Linked DNA regions of Oryzias latipes. The protein of the gene in region 4 purifies or fractionates together with the protein of the main gene of each other region. This does not show direct contact. Links are inferred from orthologs where the notes say so. Each region holds a gene or a part of one and is shown on either strand. Other genes may lie near its edges. The genes, in order: sp1, stat3, atf3, CCAAT/enhancer-binding protein beta and atf2.

Evidence for each region.
Region 1: the proteins of CCAAT/enhancer-binding protein beta (region 4) and sp1 purify together in Homo sapiens (affinity purification with western blotting; 4 studies listed by BioGRID, with this or other methods). This does not show direct contact. The link is inferred for Oryzias latipes from reciprocal best matches to the Homo sapiens genes CEBPB and SP1.
Region 2: the proteins of CCAAT/enhancer-binding protein beta (region 4) and stat3 purify together in Homo sapiens (affinity purification with western blotting; 3 studies listed by BioGRID, with this or other methods). This does not show direct contact. The link is inferred for Oryzias latipes from reciprocal best matches to the Homo sapiens genes CEBPB and STAT3.
Region 3: the proteins of CCAAT/enhancer-binding protein beta (region 4) and atf3 purify together in Homo sapiens (affinity purification with western blotting; 3 studies listed by BioGRID and IntAct, with this or other methods). This does not show direct contact. The link is inferred for Oryzias latipes from reciprocal best matches to the Homo sapiens genes CEBPB and ATF3.
Region 5: the proteins of CCAAT/enhancer-binding protein beta (region 4) and atf2 purify together in Homo sapiens (affinity purification with western blotting; 3 studies listed by BioGRID and IntAct, with this or other methods). This does not show direct contact. The link is inferred for Oryzias latipes from reciprocal best matches to the Homo sapiens genes CEBPB and ATF2.

What each region holds. Positions count from the first base shown.
Region 1 is NC_019863.2:10,447,455-10,451,410, forward strand, and holds the start of sp1 (transcription factor Sp1), read right to left. Parts: upstream 2,813-3,956; 5' UTR 2,716-2,812; coding exon 2,709-2,715; intron 2,110-2,708; coding exon 2,036-2,109; intron 155-2,035; coding exon 1-154. UniProt on the Homo sapiens protein: Transcription factor that can activate or repress transcription in response to physiological and pathological stimuli.
Region 2 is NC_019866.2:6,338,070-6,341,583, reverse strand, and holds part of stat3 (signal transducer and activator of transcription 3), read left to right. Parts: coding exon 1-38; intron 39-200; coding exon 201-340; intron 341-1,275; coding exon 1,276-1,497; intron 1,498-1,727; coding exon 1,728-1,770; intron 1,771-2,212; coding exon of another isoform or gene 2,213-2,272; intron 2,273-3,097; coding exon 3,098-3,198; intron 3,199-3,514. UniProt on the Homo sapiens protein: Signal transducer and transcription activator that mediates cellular responses to interleukins, KITLG/SCF, LEP and other growth factors. Once activated, recruits coactivators, such as NCOA1 or MED1, to the promoter region of the target gene.
Region 3 is NC_019882.2:23,409,145-23,413,374, forward strand, and holds the start of atf3 (cyclic AMP-dependent transcription factor ATF-3), read right to left. Parts: upstream 2,813-4,230; 5' UTR 2,782-2,812; coding exon 2,688-2,781; intron 1,976-2,687; exon of another isoform or gene 1,975-1,975; coding exon of another isoform or gene 1,899-1,974; coding exon 1,723-1,898; intron 1,649-1,722; coding exon 1,541-1,648; intron 439-1,540; coding exon 160-438; 3' UTR 1-159.
Region 4 is NC_019865.2:21,871,281-21,874,627, forward strand, and holds CCAAT/enhancer-binding protein beta, read right to left. Parts: upstream 2,033-3,347; 5' UTR 1,837-2,032; coding exon 976-1,836; 3' UTR 504-975; downstream 1-503. UniProt on the Homo sapiens protein: Important transcription factor regulating the expression of genes involved in immune and inflammatory responses. Also plays a significant role in adipogenesis, as well as in the gluconeogenic pathway, liver regeneration, and hematopoiesis.
Region 5 is NC_019879.2:22,381,751-22,385,738, forward strand, and holds the start of atf2 (cyclic AMP-dependent transcription factor ATF-2), read right to left. Parts: upstream 2,814-3,988; 5' UTR 2,738-2,813; intron 2,113-2,737; 5' UTR 2,085-2,112; coding exon 2,037-2,084; intron 1,190-2,036; coding exon 1,093-1,189; intron 993-1,092; coding exon 874-992; intron 771-873; coding exon 645-770; intron 321-644; coding exon 142-320; intron 1-141. Other genes in the region: atp5mc3 (ATP synthase F(0) complex subunit C3, mitochondrial), read right to left, coding at 3,708-3,822, 3,913-3,988. UniProt on the Homo sapiens protein: Transcriptional activator which regulates the transcription of various genes, including those involved in anti-apoptosis, cell growth, and DNA damage response.

The DNA.
Region 1 (3,956 bases), on a different chromosome or scaffold from region 4:
GCCAGCCATTGGCATTGGAGGTGAAAATTTGGTTTATCTTCAGCTGCTGCTGCTGAGTTTGATGCTGGTCTGCAGATGAATCGTTTTCCCCCGGTGGTTCAATTCTACTGCACGTGGCTGCCAGCAGAGCAAGGGGAGATGGCTGCTGAGAGTCCTAAAAAATAAAGAAAATGGCATCAGTACAGACAAAACGCCATATTTTAAATATTTATCATATGTTTGCTGATAAAATAAACTAAAGAAACAGTAATGGCAGTAAAATAAACCTATTTAGACAGAATAACTGTACACTGTACAGTGAAATAAAATATTTTAGTAGGTAGTCCTTAACCCTTTTCAGGCCACTGACTGTTTAATGTCAGACAAGGCTGAGGTAAAAGTCCACATTTTTTTAAGTTTTCAGTTTCCCTTAACTTTTGATTGTAAAGTTTATTTTCATTCTCTGTAAAATATCTGCAGAGGATTGAAATTTTATTTGTAAACTAGAATCATTCAAATGTGACAAATTTCCCCTAAACTCATAAATGTTAAAGTGGAAGCTAAAAAATTGGCACCAACTTCAGTCTTGTCCAACTTTTAAAGTGCAACAGATTAAAAAATAAAATAACATTACTTAAACACGTATTAAAAGATGAAAAAAAAGATTATTATCATGGTGTTTGGGAACTACTGTAGATAAATCCGTATTTTGAGTACAGACTACTGGTTTTTGTCTGTTAAATACAACTTTCTTTTTCTCTGAAGTCACTGGGTCTTTTTTTCTGCCAAAAAAAGACAAAAAAACATCTTTTAAATACATTTTTTGTTGTTGTTAACTTTGCTGTCTTGGGGGTTTCAACTTAGCGGTCTATGCTACTGGTTTAAGAAAGTAATAGATGGTTTGTCGACAAGTAACAGAGTGACTTGACATGCGTCAAAAACGAGTCGGATCAGTTGAGGAGAATTCTGTTTTTAAAGATAGGATAAGATATGCCTTTATTGTCATTGTCCATTTGGACAATGAAATTACAGCAGTCACGATTACAGTGCAAAAAACAAATCTAACAAAGTATAATGTAAAAATGTCAATATGCACAGAGTGTACCAAGAATGTGTGCAAATATGCAAAATAAGAAATGTGCAAAAATAAAAATGTATGCAATTATGTGCAGAGTGATATGTACAGATTTAAACATGTCAGATGTGCAAAACAGCATGGAGCTATGGAAGTGTTGACAATTTTACACGGAATAAATACAGTTTCTTTCAAAATCAGATTATAAATAAAACAAAAACAAAAATGTAGGTCATAGTTTCTTTCTCTATGTGCCGGTACCAACTATCCCACGGACTGGTACCGGTCTGCGTCCTGGGGTCAGGGGCCACTGATTTAAATGATTGCTATTAAAAAAGTGTGATATTTACAGCTCTTGTGTAATCTTGAAAAATTCACAATGGCAAACCAAAAAAAAAAGGTCAAAAATATTTCAGTAGGGATTTCAAATGATTGTATAATATGTTAAAAAAAATAATCTTGACAGGACTTTAGGTCTAACAAAAGAAAACGATGTAAACATATTTTATGCTAAACAAACACCAATGTAAATATGGATTATTGAATTAAATAGGTGGATTTGCTCTGTGTTCATGGCAGGATTTAGGGAGTGGGCTTCAGATGGAGGTGGGGGTTGAGGTGGGGTATGGGAGGGACCACAGTTGAGAGGAGTAGTGGCGGGCTCGGCTTCCCCCTCCTCCCAAGCCCACCCCTCTCCCTCCCACACTTTATGTTGCCCTATAAACCAGCGCACCACACTGGCCACCCCCTCAAAGGCATGCCAAATGGGCCGAACAAAACGCACTTGTAGTGCCGGGGGTTGACGGGAACACCCAGTCTGGGAGATTTTTACCTGCCCAGTCCCCACCCCGGTGACATGTGCTCTGGGGAGAAATAAACAACCGGTCCCGAATAACGCCTTCGAGCTAATTCAACAAGTAGCGAAAACAAACCAGGCCAAGACTGACTAAAATCAACAGTCCGAGTGAAGGATAAACCTACTTGTGAGTTAGTGTTCCGCTTCTGAGAGAATCCTCCGCCACTCTCCACTGCGGCCATTTCACCTTGTTGCTGATCTGCGGAAGAAGAGTTGCAAGATTCCCAACTTCAACAAACAGCAAAACACGAGTTTCAGACAATGCGACTCTTTAACACAAGTTTAAACCTCAGACGGGACAAAAATAAAACGTCTTATATATATAAAACTCTAAGTCTGTTTTGTCTTTTTGTAGCGGCTTTTCCAAGAAAAGCAAATGTATAAATGGCAAAGTACTCACGGGGCAAGCTAGCTCAATAGCTAAGCTAACATCAACTAATGGCAAGTGATGTTCTAAGAAATCGCTCTTGAATCTCTTTGAGACTTCAGTTAATCTCTAAAATGTAACGGACTACATGGGCTAAGAATACAGATTGGTCCTGAAAGTACACAGATTTTAGTGTCACTTACGAACAACTTTTTGCCGTTTCGCTAAATGTTGTTAGCCAAGTTCCAACAAGTAGCGTTAACGTCGTTAGGTTTGCTGGCCACTTTTTGACTGCATGTTTATGGCAACTCGATATATAATACTGTGCGTTTACCGCTGCTTATTTGTTTTAAAAAATGTTCTTACTACAATAAAAACTCTGTCAAGCTAAAGATACATAACATACCACTGAGTTTTAAAACTTCACTTACTGCTCATATTTGAAGACGGGAGGAGTTTCTGTGCTCTTTTTCTGCTTAACAACTTTTCACAACTTCACACAAACTTGATAGCCCCTTCCCTTTGAAGGAAAGCACAGAGGTGCGTTTAATTTAGGTACCTTTGTAGCCCGCCATCTTTGTTCTATGTAGTCATAGAAAGAGAACACATTTTTAAAAGTAGGTGCGTTTTAACTATATTAATATATTTGTTTTAAAAACTAAATACACATTGAAAATAGAGCCCCTTAAACCGAGATTTTCTTAAAAGTTAAACGAGTAAAGGTAATTTATAGTTGCATCCATTAACATGTAAAATATAAGACAATTTACTGTAGCTAGGTTTATTTTTCCTGCAAGAAAAAAAATGTTTAGAAAAGTTACTAAGTGAGACTATTTTAAATCAAAATTTTATTTAAAAAATGTATAAATTGATTATCTAGTGTTACTGTCATTCCATTAACGTAGAAAACAAGCGCACCCCCTAGAAAAGCGCCTTGTGAAAGATTACTTCAATCTACCAATCAAACCGTATGTCTCTGCCTCTTACCGTCAGCCAACCAATGGAATTTGAGAAAAGGTGGGTGATATAGGGCGGGTTCATCCACGTTAGGCTGCGCTCCTTAGTCTAATTGACATTGGTTATGTTTTCCGCGTTTCTAAAATGTTGACATATATACGCACGGATTTCTTTGTATAATTCCGAAGAAGGTCTTATGTTTAAACTTAGAAATCGTGCTTAGATTTGTGTCTTGAATTAAAACCTGGAGGTGGGGAAAAAGGAGGACTGTCGATTTGAGTCTTGCCTCCGTGGCCGCTGGCCACTCCTTTTTGTGGCGGATGGGTTGGTAAACACTAGGGAGGAGGCGGGAGAAGGCAGCCAGGGTGGAGAAAAAAAACCTCCACCGTCCTCCAGACACCGACTACAGATGGCTGGGAGTGGAAAGCGCCTCTCGTAGGGGAGGGCTTTCATCGCTTAGTACGAAAGAGGGCTGTCAGTGAAGCAGCACATGTGTCCATGTAAACAGGCCAGAAGGTGGAGTCCATCCATTCTTAACTTTAGGCTTGGACCCACCCCTCAGTGTCACCACTACAACCAAAAGCCCCTGCTGTAGTAAACACATTTTTAGTATTGGCAAAGAAACAGCAAGAACTGATATAGCAGTTATAACGTAGGACAGACCTGTTGATAAATTTTAATAAAAGTAAACTTTGTCATGTTTAATTCAGGGGCGAAAAGGG
Region 2 (3,514 bases), on a different chromosome or scaffold from region 4:
CTGGTGAAGAAGTACATCCTTGCGCTGTGGAACGAAGGGTGAGAGGTTGCAGAGGTTCCCACGCTATGACTGCTACTGCCAGTTTACTTCCTGTTGTGATCCGGAAACTGTGCAACGGTCGACGGCCTTAAAATAAGTTTGCTATTTCAGAGCTGAGCATGTCGTAATTAGAATGTTGTCTTCTGGTTGCTTGTTATCAGATACATCATGGGCTTTATCAGTAAGGAGAGGGAGAGAGCCATTCTGAGCCCCAAACCTCCCGGCACCTTTCTGCTGCGCTTCAGCGAGAGCAGCAAAGAGGGTGGCATTACATTTACATGGGTAGAGAAAGACATAAGTGGTGAGTAATTGGAGACATTTTTACGTTTTTTTATATATGATTAGGGATGGGCGCTGTTTGAATTTTATCTGATGCCGGGCATTTGAAAAACTGTTCTGGTGCTCGAGCCAATGCTTCAAAAATGAAATGCGTGCAAATATGTTTCCAAAAACCACATGGTGAAGGAGACCGCTTGAACCTGCCTAAGGTGCTTTAGTGTTTCCTTGTTTATTGTGGGAATTAGATTCTGCAAGTAAGCCGTGATAAATAAAATTGGTGCAGTACATTATAGATCTTTTAAGGCTGTAAAACCCTCTCTGCACACTGTCTACCCTTTTCTCAGACAAACAGGAACATTTTCACACTATTCTCTATTGTTTTAATCTCTCAAAGTTAAAACAAAATCCAGTTTTATAAAATTGTGAGCAAAGATTTCTGTACAGGAGACACAACACGGAGGAGATTGATTGACGTGATCTGCAGCCAATCAGGATGTAGGACAAAATGTTAAACAAACCCTCAAAACGGCACTAAAAAAGACGTGAAACCGCAAAACCACGAAAGGTTAACGGCAATATCGTTTTACTTGACAGTATGAACCGCATCTCTGTTTTCACACACACTGAGGTAGAGGTAGAGCGTATTACACGTCACCCTTCACCATCAGAATTCCAATCTTTTACTGTGAGATGCAGCTAAAGTTTTACTCACTTTGCATTTTGACTGAAGCTGCGCCCTCCCTCACGGCCTCACCCAGTCTGATATGAGCCCGCCCACAATCGCTGGAAAGGTAAAAAGATTGGTTAGAATTGTAAAGCAAAATTGTATCGAGTAGGACTGATTGACGTGTCAGAAACACCAAAACCACATTTTTATACGTAACCAGTACTATCATATACTGTATGTCGGTACCAACTTGACACAGAGTTTAACAGAACAGTTTTTTGTGTTGATAGGAAAGACCCAAATCCAGTCTGTGGAACCGTACACCAAGCAGCAACTCAACAGCATGTCCTTCGCCGACATCATCATGGGTTACAAGATTATGGATGCCACCAATATCCTGGTGTCGCCTCTTGTTTACCTCTACCCTGACATCCCCAAAGAGGAAGCTTTCGGGAAGTACTGCAGACCGGAAGCAGCTCATGAACCCGAGGCAGGAGGAGATTCAGCAAGCAGTGAGTGTTTTTTGGATTGTTTTTAGCTACGTTGTGGAAGTTCTTCGAATTGCCGTCACCTTTCAACCATTTACTTAATTAATTTTCTTCCAACGGATTCTCCGCTTCAGAATCCGTAGGAATTCCGATGGTTTGAAGAGTGTGTGTTATTCTGTGTCGCTGGTGACAGCTCCAGTATTAACTGTCTGAGTCTAAATTGTTTTTGCTCATTTTCTTTTCTCCTTTAACAGTCACCCAGCCATACTTGAAGACAAAGTTCATCTGCGTGACCCCGTAAGTTTCCATCAATCCACTCCGACTCGCTGTCAAAATAAAAGCATGCCGCTCGGTTAACTCCATCTGTCTTAGTCTTTCTGCTGCTGAAGTGTCCTGGGAGGACATTTTCTGTTTTTAGAGCTGCGTTCGTGAACCCAAAGAGTTTCCTTAATAGCATCAACTTTTTCACCGTCTGGGTAATTAAAAATATCGAATCTCGATGGTCAGTGTTCACATAGAGGGCTGCAAGATGATTACGCCTTTTATTCAGAAGTAAAATGAAAAAAGAAATTAAATGATTTTCAGTCGTATTCCTAAGCTGAGGAAAAACAACAGTCATAAAAAGTATTGAATGTTAATAAGTATTACTAGTATTCAGGCGTGTTCATGTCGGTCAGGTTTGATAGTGTGCTGGTGGGTTTCCAGGTTTGCCTAGTGAGATCCTGACCTGTCTCCGTAGGTGTCCCTCCGTGTTCATGGACTTGCCGGACAGTGAGCTGCTTGGGAACGGATTCCCAGGGTAGGCCGCTGGGGGGGAGGTGGCATGTAGAGAGCATTGTGTGCATCTTGACACTTAGTATGTCTGGTGGACGGCTTTCACCACTGTCAACGTAGCCAACGCCTCCACATTGTTTCTGTTGTGTCCAAACTCACAGCCAAAGCACCTGGCTTCTCTCCTCTCCGTTCATCCGTTTTGGCTCGGTTCAGACCGCAATCCTCCATCCATGACCACCCGCTTTTGGTTGGTTAAGGGAAAGATTTTGAAGTTGACCGTTAGACAATTCAGCATCAATTTCTGAGAGATAAAAAGTTATGCCTGTTAGTTTGACAAGAAGCTAAAACCAAAAAAAAAAAAAAAAAGAAGCTTGCAGAACAATAAAGGCCCGTTTGCTCACCATTTGTTGTGACTGACTGAAGCGAAGCCCTCATTAAGGCCCATTCAATGCGCCTTTTGTCTCTGCCTTTGGTAAATGCAAGACCGTTTAATTGCATATTAACATTTTCTCATGTTTCATTTAGAACGTGTAATTAAATAAAATGTCTACTTTTCACCACCTTACTTTACCCCATGGGCATCACATTGCAAACTAACATAGTCACTAAATACCTATCTGTTATATTAAGTCCAATGACAAATGTATTAACATGGAAAAGGAATAAAACATGATCACAACCTTTTCCTATGTGATTGCCTCCTAATCACTGTCTGGAAAAAGGTGACGGATCTCATCCCGGCGGCTTTACCTGAAGAGCCTGAACTAACACACACTGCATCAGATGCACGTGTCTTTAAACAGTGGATATTAAACTGCTTTCCTTTTTTATCTTTTCTTTTTGTTCACAGCACAAACTCTGGAAACACCAGCGACCTGTTTCCTATGATGTCACCTCGCACCCTTGATTCCCTGATGCACAATGAGCCAGAAGCTCACTCTGGACATTTGGGTAAGCCCCTCACTGACTGTGTGTGGTTGTGTATGGTTGTGTATGGTTTGTCCGTTTGACTTCAGCTCAGGTGTTGTCCTCAAACCCCACACACATTGTAAAACTGGAACTCCCTGATGACTCAGGCTTTTTTATGGCCCACATCAGTCCTGGACTGCATGACCAGATTGTTTCGCAATTCTTCCTTCTTACCACGGGTTTAAACGAAAATTTTGCCCCCGCCACGTATTGAAACCTATGGCGGAGTTTTACAAAGAACTTTTTTTTTCTTAAATTACGACTTTAAGTCTTGTAATTTCATTTATTTATTTATTTA
Region 3 (4,230 bases), on a different chromosome or scaffold from region 4:
ACAGATGTCCCCCTCCCTCACAACCCTCAGTGCATAGTCAGGTTTTTGCAGCTTTGTGTGAGCCAAGTGTGGCCCGCAGTCCTTTCTGGGTCAGGCCTGTTCAGGTCAGGCTAACACTCAGCTAGTCTCTGATGTTGGTAGGGGGCAGCCTCTGCTCAGTCATAGATCAGCGGGACAGCAAATGTGGTCAAGGCTTAGCGGGCCCCCCCCCAGCAAGCCCTCTGTGGTGGAGGTGAGGCTGTGAAGCTGGAAGTTGCTCTCCTTGATGTGCTGGAGGAAGAGGTTCCTCTCGTCCTCTGGGGTTTGTCCGTCCTGGGCCCGGACGATGCAGGTGGGTCGGTGCAGGTTCAGCATGTAGACCAGCTGCTGCTTCTGCTGCTTGAGCTCCTCGATCTGAGCCTTCAGGTCAGCGTTGATGCTTTCCAGCTTCTCTGACTCCTAACAGGAGCAGACGCAGAACAAACGGGGCTCAGTCTTTTGGAACATCAGGTGGAGGGATCAGAAAGCTGCTTTGGTTAAAAAAGTTCCAGGTCTGAAACCAAAAGAAGCTGCTGAAGAGAAACCAAGATCCGGGACACGCTTTTCATTTGAGGATAAATGTTTTTTGACAACTTTAATTCTTACCAAACTTTTATCTTCTTTTCCTCATGAAATTGTATTTCCATTTGTAAAATGCCTCAAATTCAGATCTTTTTTCTAGAAAGACTAATTCCACCTCAGAGAATCTGTTAAGTCTCTATACCATTGTCCAGGTGAATACTTAATTCTGATTGGTTGCAGTGTGTATATTTCAAAGTGATATCCCACACCTAAAAAAGAAGTTCCAGTCACACCCCCCAAATGTTCCTTATCACTGCAGTGGCCTAAACACAAGTCGGTATTCCGATTATCACCATTAAAACATAAACAAACATAGTTTGTCATGCCTTATTCCAGATTATTACAACAGTAAGACAGTAGAAAACATGAGTGATTTTATAGTTTCCTTTCACCTGTTTGGTTAATTTGATCTTTTTAGAGACTGCAGCAAAAGAGAACGAGAGAGAAGTGGATCTAGAAGGAAGAAATACGACAAGAGGAGGAACTGAACTATTTAGACTTTACAGTTAGTTTCTTTGAAACAAACTTTAACTTCCTCATCTGGACAAAAAGAAGCAGTAAGACGTGAACTTTCACACTGAACTGATGCTTTATTCAACCCATCAGCATATGAATCACTTTCTTTTGCCGCTGCAGTCTCTATGGCCATTACCATGACAACGTACTGCATATAACTTAGTCTGATTTTTGTGAAAACCTAAAAAAAAAAACAAGAATAAAGTACTAAATATTTCTTTGGGAAGTGACCATAGTATAAGCAGAATAATCTGCATTATCAGAAATGATGAAGGTTCACAGAGGCAACCTTCAGGCTTCCGTTTCAAGCACACAGAAGCTACATATCTGCTAAATGAGTAAACTGTGATGGTAGTAAGACACTTGGTCTCATGCATGTCCTCCAAAGAGCTCCTGGTTACAGCCTGGTGAAAACAGAGTTTACCTTCTGCAGACCTTCAGTCTTCTCCTTCTTCTTGCTGCGGCATTTTGCAGCAGCAATCTTATTCCTCTCTCGCCTCCTCTTCTTCCTGTCGTGCTCCTCTAGCGTCAGCTGAAACCCACACAGAGTTCTGAATAAAGAATCCACTCAGCAACAGACTGGCGTGGGGGGAGTACCTGCCTCACCTCTCTCTTGACCCCTGACTCGTGGGTGGGCGGGGCCTGGTCCGAGGCAGAGCTGGCGCTGTCAGAACTGGCGTCTGCACTGAGCCCGCAGGACAGTCGCTTGTTCTGGATGACCTGACGGAGCTCCTCCTTCACTATGGGGGTGAAGTTGGTGAAGTCTTCTAGAGTGAGTTCTCCTGGGGGGGACAGGCAGGGGACCAGGGCTGAGCAGCTGATGTCAGCCAATGACGGTCCCAGGTGCTGCAGCATCATTCTGGAGACACGGCAGACTTTCAGTCACAGTCAGGCTCAGCGTCCCCCCTCCCACCATTTGTCTTTCTGGTTTTGGACTTTCTTTAGCCCCTTCCTGAACACGCCCTCTGCTTTTTACAAGAAATACTTTGCTCTGGAACTTTTTTAGTTTTTTTTTAGCTAATGTTGCACTTATATGTGGCTTGGTGTTTTTTTATCTAGTATTTGTGTAGTATCAATGTTTTTCCACACAGGTTTCCAGTAGCATAAACTAACTGACTACATTCAGGCAGAAACGCCCACATGAACCCTAAAGATCTCTGACTGCTAACCAGAGACTTCCAGGACAGATTCTGCTGAGTAATAATGACATCATGAAGATAAAGAGTCAACACATTTGTTGTGTAACAGCAGGTGAAGGAGGTTCTGCTCCTTCAGAGGAACATCCGCGGCTACAACGGAAGAAGAACTTCTGATCATCACACCGGTTCGATTCCCTCCCTAAGGCGTTTTTGAGTGTTATTTACTGACTGAAGGTAAACTGGTAAGCAGAAAACGAAGGTTAAAGCGGAGGATTCAAATAGAAACACTTCCATGAACAGAAACTAAGTCTTTCAACGAGAAGCACCTACAAACAGTTTGCTTTCTGTTTAGAGCCACGGCCGGACCGGACCGGACCGGACCGGCGGAAAAGCGCCCCCCTTCCCCGCCTCCAGCACAAGACAGGAACGCACCTTTGAAAGTTCTGGTTCCGGCTCTGGTTCCGGCGTGGACTGCTCCGTTCGGTTCCGCAGTACTGAGTTGCGCTTCTCGTCTCTCCCGTTGCATCACCCACTTATAGGAACTCCAGGGGCGGGGCTTAGTGACGCAGTACCTAGGAATCCTACTAGACTGCGAGGGTAGGAGGGGTGGGGGTGGGGAGGGGGATGACATCATCTTATTTATAGACTCTGATCCAGTGATGATGCCACCCAAGGACCAAAACGGGGGTCCCCTTCTCCCCCCAAAGCACCTGAGATAGATAGATAGATAGATAGATAGATAGATAGATAGATAGATAGATAGATAGATAGATAGATAGATAGATAGATAGATAGATAGATAGATAGATAGATAGATAGATAGATAGATAGATAGATAGATAGATAGATAGATATAGATTCAGGTAAATACATAAAATTAAATGGCTTTTAACTTTTAAAACATTCTTTTTGATCACTTTCCTTTTTTTTCTCTTTAGAGATCTGTTTTCCTCCTGCACCCCCCCCCCCCGTTTGTAAATGGGTCACTACTGTTGTAAACTAAAATTTAAAAATGTAAACTTTTACAACTTTTTAAAACATAAATCTAAAACGTTGTTCCAGAATAAATCAACTTAAACTCTAAATAACTTTATTTTGCTCTACTCTCAAAATTAAACAAGATAGAAATAAAGTAAATATTAAAGAAAAAAATTCAAATTTCATTAAACATGTCATTTTATACAAAAATTAAGTTCAAATTGTAAATATCCCAAAAGATTTTATTCTCCATAAGATTATATCCTGCCCAAATTATACAAATTCAGCGTTTACAAATCATATCATTCTGTTTTCTTTACTCCTGTGTCATTTGATCAGAGCTGAACGTCTGGCATCGTTTTGTGTCACACAGTTGGTTTGTGTTTGCTGTGAGGTTCTGTGTTGTGGAGATTCTCAGGATGGACTGCAGGTGATCATCAGTGAGACGACAGCTGTCTGCTGTTTAGTTAGTCTTCATCACTGAGAAGAGCTTCTCTCACAGAAATGTGCATCCAAACATGCACAAAGGTGGAGCCATATGTAGACGGAGCTGGGGCATTTCTGCAGGAATGGAGAGAATAACCCTTGTGCTATCTTAGATTCCCCCCCCCCCCCCCCCTTCCATTGACGTGTTCTCCCTACCATGACAAAGGTGGATAAAGGTGGAAAGATTTCATGTAATCCATGGACACCAGTGAAGATAACATATCATTGAAGAAAAAAGGTTCACTGTCTAGTGCAGTGGTTCCCAAACTTTTTCTGCAGGGCCCCCCTTTCTGAAGATTAGAATATTTTCAAGCCCCCCCAGACTGACACAAACATACAAATCCTTTGTTTCTAAACTCCACTGGACTTTACTTAACATTGTAAGTCATACAAAATGGCAACTTCTTCCTGAACAAAACCAAAAAAACAAAAACAAATCACCTTTACAATTAATTAAAGTGACACTGTCACTAGTGACACTAGTGTGATTCCCTGGTAGTCGGAACACCCC
Region 4 (3,347 bases):
TTCAGCATAAATGGGTTTGATTTATTTTAGGACCCTTGGGAGAATGCGTCAATTATTTAAAATAAACAGAAACGAAAATGAACCTGTTTAAAAAGAGGAAAAAAAAGAGTGTGAGGAGTTAGGTTGTGTTTTGTGTAAAAGGTTATCTGCAAGAGATGTTTGTTTTAAGTGCAATTTGACAAAAACCAATGACTAAAAAGATTCCAAACTATATTTTTTAAAGCTTTTTAACTACAGAGAACTATATTTTCTACTTTATAATGAAATACGTATGATTAATTAATAACGTTTTGTGCAACAAAGGTTCAAATATTTAAAGGCCTGTAGGATTCTTTTCGTGATTTGTAGTTTATTTTACGCAAACCTGGATTATAAAAACAGCCGTTTTCCTCAACGCAATATGCTGTAACGGATTAAGTGTGAGTCTGAGTGTGAACGCCCATGTCTGTGTGCCTGTCTGCACCCTAAACCTGCGGAGGAAAGGACAGAAAAGAGCGTGCAAATTCCTTTAAACAAAGTATAAATCTATTTAATCCAATGTCAAGTACAATTAAAGCATTTCACCTTTTTAAATCTTAAATAATTAGACTTATTTCATTCATTGCCAATACTATTACAAAGAGTTGCATCATTTCACTGCAGCACAACTCTCCCCGTTGACAGCCATTGCTGCAGACACACACACACACACACACACACACAAAAATCTAGAAATTCAAGGGTATGAATGTATGTATGTAAAACCTGCACAGAAATACTGCATACACAAACATTACATGTGAGGAAAAAGCCACAGTGACATGTAAAGAGTGGTGAACGGTTGCGCAATCCATGCACCCACTTGTTCAGTCTTATTCAGTGTCCATTGTAAACTGGGGATGGCCGCCTTCACCTGTGTACCGTTTGGATCACCGTGCACTCTCCAGTCCACTTGAGGGAGCGGCACAGGGGGGTTCTCTCGTGGGAGGGGGGTACCTAACATTGTCCAGTTGCTGAGAGCAGGTTGCGCAGCGTGGCCAGCTCCCTAGACAGCTGCTCCACGCGCTTTTGTAAACGGTCGTTCTCCGCGGCCAGTTCCAGCACTTTGTGTTGAGTCTCCAAGTTGCGCATTTTGGCTTTGTCCCTGCTCTTCCTCACGGCGAGGTTGTTCCTCTCCCTCCTCAGCTTGTACTCTTCACTGTCCTTGTCCAATCGTTTTTTAGACTTCCCGCTGCTCCCCTTGCCGCCGTGAGACGGTGACCTGCCTTTACCTGAGGGCGCAGGTGTGCCGGGCGGGCTGGAGCAGGTGGAGGACGCAGTGGAGATGTTCCCCAGACTGCTGCTGGTGGACTGGTAATGAAGATAGGACCTCATGTCGAACCCGGACGAGCCGTTCTCCATCTTGGCGTCTTCCAGGTTGTCGTCTCTGTCGGCGGCTGCGGCGGCGGTTCTGTAGCGGCTCAGTTCGGGGCTCAGGACGCTGTCCGCGCGCGTCTCCTGCAGCTCCGAGTAGCCCAGCGAGTAGGGCTGCCGGGGGTCGCACTGGCTCGACTCCAGCTCGCCCAGCAAAGAGTAGTTCCTGTAGCTCTGGAGAGCTGAGACTCTCTTGATCTTGCTCTCCGCCAGAAAGTCAGAGTACGCGTCCCCCTGCGGCTGCGTCTGCGCCGCCAGCTGCGCGCAGTGGAAGGCTGGGTCCAGGTAAACGCTCAGGTCTATCGCTCTCTCCCGCTCCTCAATGCCCAGCTCCGTCATCGAGTCACCGAGCCGCCAGTACGAGCCGCCGACGATGGGACTGATGATACCGTCTCTGCCGTGGATAGCAAAGCTTCCCTCCTCGTACAAGCCGGCCACTTCCATGGATCTGCACTCCCGCCGGACTGCAGGAGCGGGCAGGGCTGAGGTGAGGCGCCCCGAGTTCTTCAAGTTCAGCTGAGTAACTGGAGAAAACGTGTCGGAATGCAGCGAGCTGAAAGCACCCGCGTCACTTCATGTGGCAACAACAAGAAGCAACTTTTTTTTTCTGTGGCGGATTGGGAGGAATTGACAGACCTTCCTGTCTCGAGAGGGTTTTATTCCACAGCGCGGGGGGCGGGGCCTAACAGGGCAGGTGTGACGAGCGGAGCCTGTCAGCGAACAACCTGTTCCACTTTGGAGAACGTTTCCCGCATTCATCTGTTTATGTCGGGACAAACGAAAACCTGAACTTGACTTGTTGTCTATTTAAAGTGAAGTCTTTCATTGTTTGTCAGTAAGCATCAATACAAGTTATTATAAATAATTACTTTGCTCCTTTCTGGACACATTTCCTTAACTCCTGCAGCAGAAAATCACATTCAGTTGTAATCAAAACATCTCTGAACACATTATTTCCAAAACAAAAATGAACAGTTGTGGAAGTGATGCACACATCCCCATCCATCACTGTGCTGGTTTGTGTCAGAAACATTTCACTGTCGTCAAAGACAGATGTGACTGTCTCGTGGGATCAGTGTTATCCCACAACATGACTTCAAGCATGACCCAATGACTCACAGCAAGAACAAAATAGAAGCCTCTCCTGGACAATCATGAGGCCCCAAAAATAAACTGACTCTGAATAAGATCAGATAAGAATTACACGTTTGCTTTAAACGTGCACGTAGATTGAGAAGAAATACCTACAATTTATTTATTGGTGAGAAACTGGTTTGCAAATTGGGATTTACTGCCACCGTGTGGCTAAGAGTATTTAGAAAATTACTTGTCAAGCACTTGTCAATTTGGTGCTTCGAGCATCTTTTGCATATTTTAAGACACGTGTGTGACATTTCTTGTGTGATTTGCTGAAGAAAACAGAGGTAGTCACTTTCCATTTGAAGTCACCATGACTTGCATGTTAGGAAGCGGTCGGTGCAGAATATCATGACAAGACTGTACTGGAGAGAAAAAAAAACTCCAAATGGTATCTAAAGGCTTTTAACATCAGGCCTGGCTGATGTTTGAATATAATCGCACATAAATCAAAGGGATTAAATTGATAATGTATACATTTTTTTGTTGTTTGAGTGAAAAACCTTTTTTTTTGGCTTAAGTTTAATTCTTGCTCCATTAAAACTGCTTTGAAACAGTTTGAAGTTTTCCCTTTGCTTCCAACTTTTCTTCGATGTTTGCATTTTACTTTCAGCTCCCTGTCAGGCAGCTCCATCAAACAGAATGACAGATGACATCTGTAGTGCCTCCATGGGAGTGCTCCCTTCTCTTCCTATAGCGTCACATACAGACAACGTTTTCATCTGAGATGTCATTCTGGATCAGCATTCAAATTTTTCCTGTGACATGTTACACAAAAACACGTGACTTTGATGCTGCACATTTCTGAGTAGGGGTGC
Region 5 (3,988 bases), on a different chromosome or scaffold from region 4:
ACACCAGAGTGCAGATTGATTAAAAAAATAAACATAAAATACAAGCACATGCCTCACAAAATGCACAAAACTACACAAAAATGATTAAAAAAAACTAAAAACTAAGATTTGTTTTAAAAATGGACGCATTCCGTTACTTACACTATGGGTCTATTAGTGGATGGAACCTGGGTAATAACAGAGCTAGATGTTGGCGATGGGAGAGCTGGCTGTATTACAACATTAGCGTCCGTGGTTGCTAGAAGTACATTGGGAACTTGGAGGGATGCAGGATGGACTATAGTGGATGTTGGCAGTGAGGCAGGCTGCAAAGTTAAGTCCTGAAAACATCATACAAGACCTTAGCTGCAGAAATGTTTAGTGAACACCAGCTTAGTTAGTTACAAGAACTTTTTGCAAATATTTTTTTGGTTGGTTTTAGGATTTCCAAATCAAAATTAAGAGCAGTGTTTGAATAAAAAAAAAAAAGAGAGTGGGGTTTGAAAATAAAAAACAAATAAATCGAAGAATTCAAGCAGGTGAAAGAAGAAGTACAATTTCTATAGTAAATGAATGATTACAGAAACAGGAGGATTCTTAATTATTCATGTTTAATAGCACTCCTAAAACCCATTAGAGAGCTAACTAAACAGAAAAAAATCTACCTTGTCATCGTTTGTGGTGGACTCAGGATGAGGAAGGGGGCTGTTCCGATGTGCATCTACAGCTGCGGGTTCCTCAGTTTTGTTGCGTATGACTGGTGTAGCAAGAGGTGACAAATCCAGAGGTAGCTTTGGGAAGGTTAAAAGAAAAAGAAAAAAAGCAGATATAAACTCTGGACTTCAGAGATCATCCTAAGAGAAGATTTGACAGAAGTTACAGAACAAACTCAACCTTCTTCAAGTCATCTTCAGCTGCTTTTTTGAAGTCATGGTCAAAAGGACTGGCAAGTTCGTTGAAAAGCCCGACTTCCTCGCAGTTTTTCAAAAAGCGAGTGGGTGTCGGCGTTTGATCTGTAATAGAGAAAAGAAAAGATAAAAGAAGAAAAAAATCACACTTAAGGAGGCAAAAACACACAAACATCTATAGACATAAAACTTAAGAAGGACTCACCAGCAATTATGATATTGTCGGTCCTCGCTGGGCCAAACTTTAGTGTCATCTCGTGTTTGTGTCTGTGGACAGCCAAGTGGTCTTCATTTGTAAATCTCTGAGCAAGGTAAAAAGGAAATAAATGAATAAAAAAACAACTTTATTCTGCATATCCTTTGAGAGACAACAATGACTCACAATGTTAAATATGTTAAAATACTAACAATTTCAAAAAGTAAACGGTGCATTGCTAAAATCCAAAGAAATCAAACCCTAAATAAACATAAACATAGGCTTAATGTGTGTTTTTATGTTTATTGTGACTGTGCGCGTACATTTACCACAATAATTACATATTTTTACCCTTTAGCCAACTTTACTTTGGCACTAGAAATTAAACAGTTGATGTGACTTCAAAAAAGAGATGCTTTTTATTATTTGACCCTTTTGTGAATCCTCAAATTGGATGCAGACTCAGGCTTTTATTAACTCCAGTGATTCTGTTTTTAAGTGGATTTATCTGTACCACAAATAATCACAAATCCTTCAAACAGTAACTTCAGCTTTTAAAATGTCTGATAAGAATGCACAAACTACGTTTTTTAGTTGAATTATTCGATATTATCAGCAAAGATAGCAAATGTATGTAAAATGTACACATTGAGTACCCAAATATTTGGTTACCATATTTGATGCATATATATATATATATATATATATATATATATATATATTAAAGTTAGTCTCTGGAGAAATACAACTACCGTATCTCAAAACATGTAATATTATAATACCTTCAACGTTTTTAAATAATCTAGAATGTAAAGATGTAAGCTCAACAACTCCACCATATAAATTTACAACACATTGGAATTGGTTTTTTTCCTTCTATTTTTCAAAAAATAAAAATAACTGAATCACTAACTAAAAAGAAATAAAAACTATGAAGAACTATGTCAGCTTACCTGTCCACATCCTGGAGCAGTACACTGGAAGGGTTTGTCATCACTCATATTAAGAAATTCTTGCTATATTTTTGTCCTACAATAAATGAATAAAAACAACATATTTCATCTCAATTAACTTAATTTCCATTTAAAACAGAAATAAATTCAACAGCCACAGAAAAGACAACCACGTAATCGTGGCTGATCAAAAGGAGGGTTAGAGGGTTAATTTTTAGATAATAGTAGAAATGACTCGAGACTCGAGTGGGACTGTTAAGGGCAAATCTAGTGAAAGGACAAATAAGATTTTGGACAAAGCCAGTGAGGAGGTGGGGTTGCTCTGTCTGTGCTTATTTATTAGCTCGGTGATGCAGTGCAGGGTCGTTCGGTGTGTGGTCGTTCGGATTGTGTATTTTTCAACACGAACAAAGAAATTATGCATGTTTTTTGTTGGAAAAAAAAGTTTCACGTTTAATTCCGACTAAAGTCATCACACAACAAAAGCTACATTATGATCCGATCCTCCGCTCCAGCCTGAGCTGAGATAACGCACAGCCGTCGCCATGTTAGAACCAACAAATCACTAAACAGATAACCTTTTGGTATTTAATTTGAGGGGGATTAATTTCACTTGGAAGAAAATAACACCGATTTCAGATAAAGGGTGCCCTTTTTTGCATTTGTAATAAAACTCGCTTTCAATTTGAGTTGTTACTTACCCCTTTAGCCACAAACGTTGTTTTCCCAAACCCCAAAGTATCGCGAGAAAACAATTTCTTCTTCCGTAAACGTCACACTAACCCAAACGCCGTAAACATACTAATGGACACTAATAAACCCATTTACCCATAAATTTACCCATTTACCCATAAATTCAATATTTTATAAATAATTGCCATCATTTCTACTGCATTACAACTTTATTTACAGTCTACGGAACCACCTCAAGTTAACATTCCTTTTTTACTCAAAGGCCAAATTTCTTTAAAACAATTCAATTTAGAGAAACATTATCGTGTACTCTATATTAAATTAAATCACAAGGAACTATTTTTGATTGAAGCAGTAAACAAACCACATGGGTAATTTATATTACAAAAAAAAAAAAACATTTGGTCAACTTTGTTGCCAAATATTACTAATTTACTGACTTCCAAATGACAATTACTTTTTAACTGAGAATTTTGTTCTGATGGACCGTTTTAGTGGCAACTCATTCATTTGACAAACCTCGAAACCCTGTTGGGGTCGGGAAATAAATTCAAAAACCCAAATTATAATTCAATCTAGATTTATTCAACGTGATTTACAAAAGCAAGTAATCACTTGTTGCCTCTTACAGTTCTACTTAACTGCAACTGAGTTAAGTGCTTATGACGGTGGACCCCATATAACTCTCAGAAAGCAAGTTGATTCACAAGGGGAGAAGATGTTCTGACATTTGTGAGAGCAAACTGCTTTCAGTTACCATGATATTCCAGACATAGACGTTGCTGCCACTGATAAATACTCAAATGCATGTATTAAATTCACGCACATTGTTATGTTTGTACATGTTTTGTTTAATTTTGACTGTGTCGGAAAGACTTGAAAAATTTACATTTCCATGACACCAACACTGAACAATTTTAGAAGCCACAATAAAATATGTAGTCACATCTGTAATGAAAGTGTTGGGAGGGCAGTGCTTTACATTGCAAACAGGATCAGAAAAGCAACCATCAAACAGAATAGTCCCATAGCTTCAGACAGGGCGAAACCCAGGATGGCATATGAGAACAGCTGCTGCTTCAAAGATGGGTTCCTGCAAACAAAAAGAAGTCAATAAATGTAAAGAAAACATTTGAATTGTACCCCAAAAAAACATGTACACAGTGACCAAATGGCAACAAACCTGGCATAGCCAATAATGAGACTACCGAACACTGTTCCAATTCCAGCACCAGATCCAGCGACTCCGACTGTAGCGG